Linked DNA regions of Sus scrofa. The protein of the gene in region 1 purifies or fractionates together with the protein of each later gene. This does not show direct contact. Links are inferred from orthologs where the notes say so. Each region holds a gene or a part of one and is shown on either strand. Other genes may lie near its edges. The genes, in order: PPP1R15A and EIF2S1.

Evidence for each region.
Region 2: the proteins of PPP1R15A (region 1) and EIF2S1 purify together in Homo sapiens (affinity purification with western blotting; 4 studies listed by BioGRID and IntAct, with this or other methods). This does not show direct contact. The link is inferred for Sus scrofa from reciprocal best matches to the Homo sapiens genes PPP1R15A and EIF2S1.

Annotation. Positions count from the first base shown.
Region 1 is NC_010448.4:54,170,488-54,174,999, reverse strand, and holds the start of PPP1R15A (protein phosphatase 1 regulatory subunit 15A), read right to left. Parts: upstream 2,963-4,512; 5' UTR 2,726-2,962; intron 2,014-2,725; 5' UTR 2,005-2,013; coding exon 385-2,004; intron 1-384. UniProt on the Homo sapiens protein: Recruits the serine/threonine-protein phosphatase PPP1CA to prevents excessive phosphorylation of the translation initiation factor eIF-2A/EIF2S1, thereby reversing the shut-off of protein synthesis initiated by stress-inducible kinases and facilitating recovery of cells from stress.
Region 2 is NC_010449.5:91,083,407-91,087,902, reverse strand, and holds the start of EIF2S1 (eukaryotic translation initiation factor 2 subunit 1), read right to left. Parts: upstream 2,879-4,496; 5' UTR 2,465-2,878; intron 1-2,464. Other genes in the region: ATP6V1D (V-type proton ATPase subunit D), read left to right, coding at 3,209-3,249. UniProt on the Homo sapiens protein: Member of the eIF2 complex that functions in the early steps of protein synthesis by forming a ternary complex with GTP and initiator tRNA. This complex binds to a 40S ribosomal subunit, followed by mRNA binding to form a 43S pre-initiation complex (43S PIC).

The DNA.
Region 1 (4,512 bases):
CGGCACCAACGTGGGGAGCCACAGCAATCCAGACCCAAGATCCGAAGGGCCACAGGTGCAGGCGGGGAGGGAGGGAGGGAGGGAGAGAGAGAGAGAGAAGCAAACAATTAATTGCACCACAGCGCTTGTTATCAGGTTAGTCACCCGCCTGTCATCCGATTCTCTGTGACTCATCTGAAGCAGGAGGTGGTTCCCTGGGGTTGACATCAGCGAGACTGCTCCTTCCTCCCCACTGGGGCCCAGCCTCTTACAAAGGATTGCATTACAGGGGACAAGCCTCCCCGCAGAGCTCACGCGCAACCCTCTGCAACACGGGGGGACCCAGGAGTTCCAGCTCCCAGCCCTCTTCCCTGATGCTCAAGAATCTGAGCCCTCGGCACCCACCTTTCTGGTCTTTCGGGGAGGCTCTGGGTCCTGATGCCTGGCAGGGCTGGTGGGGGTTTCTGCGGGTTTGAGCCTCCGTTGCAAGCGGAGGGGCAGCCGGGAAGGAGCCCAGGGGGGTGGTGTCTTCTCTCCAGGTAAATAGATGGCCACTCGGAAGGGACAGGGCTCAGCTTCTTCCCGCTCTTCCGCAGCTTCCCCGCCCTCTGTTCCCTTCCCAGGCTGATACATCTGGTCCCTGCGGAGGGCACGCTGGGCCTGAAGGGATGGACTTGGTCCCCAGACAGCTGCTTCTGATTCCCCATCCTCTTCCTCCTCATCGTCGTCCTCCTCCTCCGTGTCCTCTCCGGGTCGATACACCCAGGCCCTCAGGAAGGCACTTGTGGGTGGGACGGAAGGAGGACCAGCTTCTCCTTCCTCCTCAGCTGCTCCTGCATCACTATCCCTGTCCTCCTCCTCCTCCTCTGTGTCCTCACCGGGTCGATACACCCAGGCTCTGAAGAAGGCACTTGGGTGCGGGCTGGAAGAGGGACCCTCAGCTTCTCTTTCCTCCTCAGCTTCTCCTTCCTCCTCAGCTGCTCCCTCGTCACTGTCCCCGTCTTCCTCCTCCTCCGTGTCCTCTCCGGGTCTGTACACCCAGGCCCTCAGGAAGGCATTTGTGAGTAGGTTGGAAGAAGGGCCCTCGGCTGCCCCCAGATCCCTGTCCTCATCCTTCTCTTCATCTTCCTCCTCTGAGATCTCCCTGGACTGATGCTGCCGGGTCCCGAGCAGGGGGCTCTGGGCTAGAATTGCGGAGTGGGGCTCTGGGCCAGCCTCTCGTTTCTCCACCTTTCTGTCCTCCTCCTCCTCAGGCTCCTCCCCTGAACAACACTCCCAGGCCCCGGGGTGGGAACCGAGGGATGAGGGGCAGGTGGAGGGCTTCGTGGCTGCTTTGTTCTCTGTTCTTTCTTCCTCTGTGGCTCCTTCCACTGCGCAGCACACCCAGGAGCGGGGCTGGGGTCCTGGAGCTGAGGGGGAGGTAGATGTTCTAGGAGCTTCTTTATTTACAGCTTCTCCAGCCTCCTCCTCCTCCTCCACTGCCACACCTGGACAACCCTCCCAGTGTGACAGAGGAAAAGCGAAGGTGATTATGTCTTTATCTTCAGTAACTGCTTCTTCCTGAGATTCTTCCTCCCCAGGAACGTCCTGCTGGGCTCTCATCAGAAGGCTGGGGGACAGGGGAGCAGGAAGGCCATCCATAAATTCACTTCCGGGCTCTCTAGGGACGCGGGTTGCTGCTTCCCCACCACGCTCATCATCTGAAAGTCCCCAGGTTTCCAAAAGCAAACACTTGGCTTCCAGGTCAGGGTAGCTCCCCCAGGATGCTTCTTCATCCTCCTCAGTTGCTCTCCTCTCTCCAGGCTCTTCTTGTGGCTGGGTGGCCAGAGAAGCCTTTGTGTCTCCCTCCAGGCCAGGTTCTCCCGCGTCTGCCCTGGTTACTGCCTCCACTAGCCAGGGCTCTGGAGGGCCTGGGCCCCTCAGGTGGCTCCAGGCCCGGCTGAGAAGGCCCATCAGCGGGGACAGGAGAAAGGAGTGGGTAGCCCTCCAGGGGGCAGGCTGGTGGGGCACTTGGCCTGGGGCCATCTTTGTCTGCTGGGGAAAAGGGAGAAAAAAAAGGAAACGAGTTTAGAAGCCATGGAGGGAATAGCATCAGAGAGTGACCTTGAGTCATAGCAACACAAATAGTAACACGAATAGTAACACAAACAGCAACCAGAGAGGCCCCGCCCCACATTCCTTTCTCATCCCAGCCACACCCATCTCTGTCCCTAGTTTCCCAGCCTCTCTCAACACCCAAGAGTCTGGATCATCACTCATTCCTTCCTTAGCCCAAAGGGCTCCCAGCCCCATTTCCTCTCTGACCCATTAAATTCTAGTCCCAGGAAGCAAGAACACAGGTCCTCTGCTTGCTTCCTCTGGGGACAAAGTCCTTGTCCCTTGCCTCTCTCATCCTCCTGAGGATTGAAAAATTAGGCGCCCACCATTCTCCTCCTTCCAAGACATAAAACTTCCGATCCCTAGATGGTGCCTTCTGGCTCCCAGACTCTTCCTCTGTCCGGCTCAGGACTCTAAGCTCCCAATTCCTTCTCCTGCCTAAGTCCGAGCCCTCGGGTCCGGCCTCGTCCCACCTCTCCAGAAAAAGGAGTTCAGGTTCCCAGGAGTCCTTAGGGCACAGGAGTCCGAGCTCCGAACACCCCTATCTCGGAACTCAGAAGTTCGAGCTCCCTCCTCGTTATTGACCAGGATTCTAGTCCTCCGCCCCCAAACCCCTAGGAACCTAGATGTTCCGACCCCCTCAACTCACCAGCTCGGGATTGCGCGTCACCCTGGGGGCAGGAGCGTCGGCTGGGGCTGCCACAAGCGATCGCAGTTCCGGACAGCTCGGGAGTCCAGAGCGTTCATTTCGCCCTCCGGCGTCGGGCTCGGGGACTCAAATTGTCACCGGCTGCTGCAAGCGTTGTCACGACGAATGGGCGCAAGGTCACACGGAGAAACAAATACAAACACACCGGCTAGCCACTTAGGACGTAAGGGTTGACGCGGTCCTCAGCGCTTTTATACACAAACGCAGCCGGACGTGGTGACGTCAGGAGAGGAGGCGGGGTTTCGAATCGTAATCGTGATGGACGAAACGGAAAACAAGGTTGGACTTCTCGCGGAGATTCCGGACTTTATGACGTCACGGCGGTATTTCTGAGCGTGGCCACGCCCTGAAGCAGGCGAGCTGCCAATCAAACTCATGAACTGGTTAGGTTTTGAGCGCGCGAGCTCAACCTCTGTTCCAGGCAAACGCCGTTACTCCCCGCCCCCAATTTAGCCAGCCGGCCCCAGGCTAGAGTCTTCCACCCTCCAGTCCAGTCGGCTTCCTATCCGGTGTGGGAAGGTATCATTATTTCCATTTCACAGATGGGGAAACTGAGTCTTGGGCATGAAATCACTTGCCCAAGGGTGGGCACAGCGGAGTCTATATTCATTGCAAAAGAGAAAGAGAATGTGTAAGGCCCCTGAAGGCAGGCGCTTTTCTTTGCTCACTGCCTGCGTGACACATAGTAGGTGCTCAACAAATACGCGGTGAGAAATACTGGACCAAAACCTCAGATCCCGTGCCTATCTCAGGCACAAGGCGCCACTCCTAGGCTCCACCTACTTCAAATTTATACAGAACCTCCGCTTACACAAATTGAAATTCTAGCTGGGTATCACCAACATCAAGGGAGTGGGGGGGCGGTCTTTTGCCCCAAATTCCAGGCCTAAGGACATGGTTTCAGTCCCTGGCACCCCACCACCAACCTGGTCTGCAATCCTGTACCTCAAAATACGCCCAGGACCCAGGCCTCCCTCCTGAGAGGGCATCATCCTCAGTCTAGACCGGAGTTCTCACCTGGATCTGAGGTGGAGATTGCCACTGGCCACTTGACCCTGCTCTTGCCAGAACCCAGCAATCTGGGGGCCGCCCTCTCTTCTCTGGAGGACTTGGACCCATCCACTGCAAGCCACACCTCCAGACCCCAGCTCCATTCTCAAGTCCTGACTCCTGGCTCACATTTTGTCAGGTACCCAGTAGTCTGAGCCCCTACCCCTCCCTTCCATTCCCAAGGCGCCAATCACCCAGGCTTCCGATCACAACCTGCCCCCTCAGGTCCTGGAGTCCAGGCCCAGCTCCTCTTCTCCAAACATGTAGGAATCCCAGCTTCAGCCTTGATGGGACCCGGTCCAGCAGGGACCTAAGAGCGTGTGGGTGGATGGGTGGGGTGGAGGTGGGAGGGTGGCCCCCAGCCCCCAGCCCCCAGCCCCCAGCCCCTCCCTTCAGCTGTGGGGGCAGCTGAGCCAGAGGTCAGGCTGTGGTGGGGAGGCCAAGAGGGGCGGGGTCAGCGGGGATTGGGAGCCGGGACAGCAGCGTGGGCGGCTGGCAGGGGGAAGGAAAGACCAGCAGAGGGGAAAGAGAAACTGGGAGAGCAGAGGAAGAGAGACAGTGAGAAGGAGCGTCCGGGAGAGAAGGAAACAGCAGACGTGGAGGGCCAGAGAGAGAGAGGGCGAGAGGGAGGGAACAGAAGGGAGACTTAAAGAGATTGTGAGCCCAGGAGAGGATTT
Region 2 (4,496 bases), on another chromosome or scaffold:
CTGAGCTGGTTATTTCCTTTTTAAACAGGGTTTCTTTCCCCCTCCTCGGACAATTGTTGTCAAATATGTGTGTAATGTACTAAAATTTGAGAGCTAAAAAAGTTTCAAACTGGATATCCAAGTAAATGTCATGGAAATGTATGAAACAATTTTAATAGATTTAACAGATACTAACCACTTTTACTCACCAAGTTTCTTCAAATAGTAACTTATCAAATAGTAGTAGTAATTATTTATTTCTTCAAATAGATAATTTTGGGAAAGCAAGACAATCTGAATGTTAAAGAACATAAGCAATAATGTAAAAGAATTCTGAAGGGAGATATGAATGCTACTGCTTTAGGAGGTACAGGTTTTTTTTCTTTTCAACACACAATGTAAATAAAGGAATATTGCTGATATTATGTCATTCACAGTAAAAGATAGGAAGTAGCCCACAAGTACAAAAATAATCTATTTTGCACAGGAAAATCTACTCAATAGTTTGTAATAACCTATTTGGGAAAAAAGAATGGATATATTTATATGTATGACTGGTTCACTTTGCTGTACACCTGAAACTAACAGAACATTTTAAGTCAACTATACGCCAATAAAATTAAATTTAAAAAATAAAAAAATAATATATAATCTATTTTGCAAGAAAACTGCATATTGGTTGATAGATTTTGAACCTATCTCCTTACTTATGGATATTATGCTAATAACATAGCTTTGAAAAAATCCATCAGGAAAATAGGAGTCACACCAGGTATCTATCACCCCTTTATATGATGTTCAAAGCACTTTTACTTACTACCTGTGGCTGCCTGGGAAACATATTCCCATTAACTCCAGTTTCTAGTGTGTGCCATATACTTCACAGGTTTGTGCAGGGTTATCAAGTGAGATAAAATACTCACGTGAAAAATTTTGGAAAGTGTAATGTGCTATACAAATATAAGACATTAAAAGGCAAAGAAGGTATCAATTCCATTTTGTAATTTAGTTCATTAAACAATTTTTTTGCAGCATCTATTATTAAAATAAAGTACTAAATGACCTCCTCAAAGACAAATGCTTCATAAGAAAGGGAGCTAAAACCAGGTCATTCAATACTAAATCTAGTTTCTTAAACCACAGAGCCTCGATATGCCAGAGTACTACAACACAGTATGTGTTCTTTGGTAAAGAATACCCATCTTTCAAAATATATTAACTGAACTTGAAGCAAGTTTCAAATACCCTGCACTGTGAGTAATCCTGCCTGGTCAAAAGGTAGGCAGGACTTTTTTCTTAAACGACTGCATGGTCAAGCGGCCATGATGGATACAGAAAGTCCACATTTTTTTTGAAAGTAACGTATGATGTGTTAGAGGCAACTTCTATGATAATTCTAACTCCGCTCTAACACTCATCAGTTACCTTCTCTGAATGCCTGTTTTTATTACATAAATTACATAAACAAAGCTTTTAAACTATTTTACTGTGGCTGAAATAAGCAGCACCAATTTCTACAAGCATTATTACTATGCATCTTTTTGAGATCTTTTGAGGATCAGTGACTTGTTATTTGGCATCAGATGAACTGAGAACAGACAGTAAAGCTCTACATAATTCCAAACTGCTGAAAGACACAGAGTTACAAGATTTTTTCCCTTGAATAATAACATCAAACGGGAGAAAAACCAAGACTTCTTGCTAAACCTTTCCTCCACGAAACAATGTTTCTTGTTAAATAAAACTTAAAGTAGTCTAAGTTTGGGGGGGTAATAAAATTCCCTTATCTTTATGTTTTTTTAGTTATGCTTAACCGAAAGATCACAGCGTGTAATTCTACAAGTTTACTTTCATCGATGCTGAAACACGGTAAACCGATACTAAGAGTTATATATAAACTCTTCAACAGTATCTTTTAGTTTCAACTGAAGGGGTGACTCAGTCTACAGAAATGCACCGAGCGATAAAGTGATAGGAGCTTCAATTTTTAAATATAAGTTATCAGAGGAACAAATTATTCTTGGATACTTTTAAACCCAACTCTGTCAACATCATGGCCCAAACCACCGGTTCCTTGAAGCGGCCGGTCTGGTTTCCACTGAGAGGTAGTATTTGCTGGGGCGGACGAAAAAGATGGAATTCTCAGGCCCGGAGAGAGCAAAATGCTCAGCGTCGTGGGGCGGGGGTGTCATAGCGTTCTCCCGAGACGGCCCCACCTCAAGGCACCCCTGTTTTATGTATATTGAAGACGCTGTACAATCACTGGGCCCACTTCCCTTCACGAGATTCCTTCGTTCGTACCTTGACACCACCGCTCGGAGAGACCGACACCCGGCCGGTGGCGACCGCAGTCGCGTCCAGGCACTTCCCGCTCAGGGACGGGAAAAGGAGGTGTTAACCCAGGGCCTACCCTCTACCGAACACCCATGCCATTGGACACAACCAAAGTAAATTCTTCGAGAAACTGATCGGGGAGACTAGTCACCTGAGGTATGTATATGGATCCCGCACTGGGGCCCCGCGCCGCGCTCTTCAATCAGAGAGAACTGACTTGATCCACCCGCAGCAGCCGCCGACTCTCTTCAGCGTGCGCTTCTCTCAACCCTACCGCGCATGCGGAACCACCTCGCAGCACGCAAGCGCCGACAGACTACAGACCGCTCTTCATCACCTACCATAGAGTCTAGGTCCTCCGCGAACAAAGAGGTCTGTGGGCCTTAGGAGGACTTGAAAAGTACATTTTCTCGCCATCTTTAGTTTTCGCTAAGTGACTTTCAAGGCGCAGATAAGAAGTAAGACTCGGATTCCTTGTCCCTAAAGAATAAATTCTCTACGATACTGTCAGTCAACCATGAGGTGGCGCTGTGACCAGAGGTGAATGTGGAGGAGGAGAAGGGGTGTACTCTTCTCTCTCGGTCTTTCGTCTCTTGGGTGTAGAGCCTTGCGCAGCCGCCTGGGAGCTGGAGGGGGAGGGGCTCGGCAGCGTACCGGAATCGAGGGGCGGTTCCGGGGTGCGCGCGCCTCAACATCCGGGCATCGCCTTCTTCCTGTCCCGGCCTTCCTGCACTCCTGTGCCAAGAGAAAGCGGAAGTGAAGAAGAGACACTCCGGCTGCCTCTTAGCAACGCGAAGGGCGTCACGTGACACAACCAGCTGACTCCGGTAGAGAAGGACTCTGTGGCTGCAGCACTTGCCTGGCCTGGGACCGGAGCCGCACGGTCGCCGTCAGAATGTCGGGCAAAGACCGAATTGAAATCTTTCCCTCGCGAATGTAAGTAAAAGAATGGAACGAACACACTTACGGGTTCAGGAACACCGGCCCGGAGCCGCTGTCCGTTCACACCCTGGACCAGCAGCGAGGCACCTTGTTTCCTTGGCCGACTCTGAGCTCTCCTCAGACACTTCGTGAGTCCAGGGCGAAGCTCTTTGGCGGGCCCGCACACATTCCTCTGTTTGAACCGGACTGGGCAGAACGAGCCCAGCCGGTGGAACAGGCGCCCGGCCTGCTGGATTTTATGAAGGCTCATTGACTTTACTCATTAATTGAGCTTTTCACCCCACATTCCTTTATTGAGCCGGGCACTATCCTTACGTACCTATGAGTTTTCGTCACTTGTGCCTTAAGAGAGCTAAAGACAGACAAGCCGAGGAGGTTTGCCGATAATGCTTTGAAAAAGGAAGTTTACTACGATGGGAAGCAGGCTTCTAAGCCAAATTGGGGGTTGAATCCAATCACCGTAACGTGGACGTTAGGTTCGATAGTGGATCCCCTTGCTCCTTTTCCCTTGAAATGTTTGTCGCCTGAGGTGGGAAGCTATCCCAGAATTTCTAAGGCACTCCTTTTGCTCTGTCACCATTGCATCTCATTCAGGCCTGTGTTAATATCACCCATCACGTTGTAAAGTGGATATTGTTTTATGTGTATTTACCACTGAACTACAAGCCCTCTCCAGGATGAGATCTCTTTTATTAATCCATAGAAAGTCCATTAAAAAAATGGTGCCTGAATGAACCCATATTTTGGAATTTGGTCAGTCGTGGGCTTCATTGCCTGAATTCTTTGGCTGGAGAAATAGCATAGCACTCTAGGTGTTTGGCCAGTCTGTAAAGAAAATTTTGAAATTTTCTTAAATGTGCCTAAGAACATGTGGAAAGTAATAATTGTTCTTATTTGTCGTCTTCTCCCCTTTCTCCTCCCCTTCTTCTTCTTTTTTTTTTTTTTTTTTTCTTTCTCTAAGGAGCAGAAAGTCAGTTTTGGTTCTGAGAGATGTTTTGACTGTGGTCCTCTCTTTGGGGGACCTTTTGTTTTTCTTCATTCTGAATTTTTTCTCAGAGAATCTGAGGACTCTTAAATAAGAGTTGTTTTTAAACCCTAAACCTAGTTTTCTGTCTCTGCCTGGGTGGCTACAGCTTTTAATAAAATGAAGGGGGTTTTGTTTGGTTTTTACCTTTACCTGACTTTTCAATAGCTGTTTGTCCTAGATGGACGCAATTCAGTTATGGAGAAAGGTAATGCCT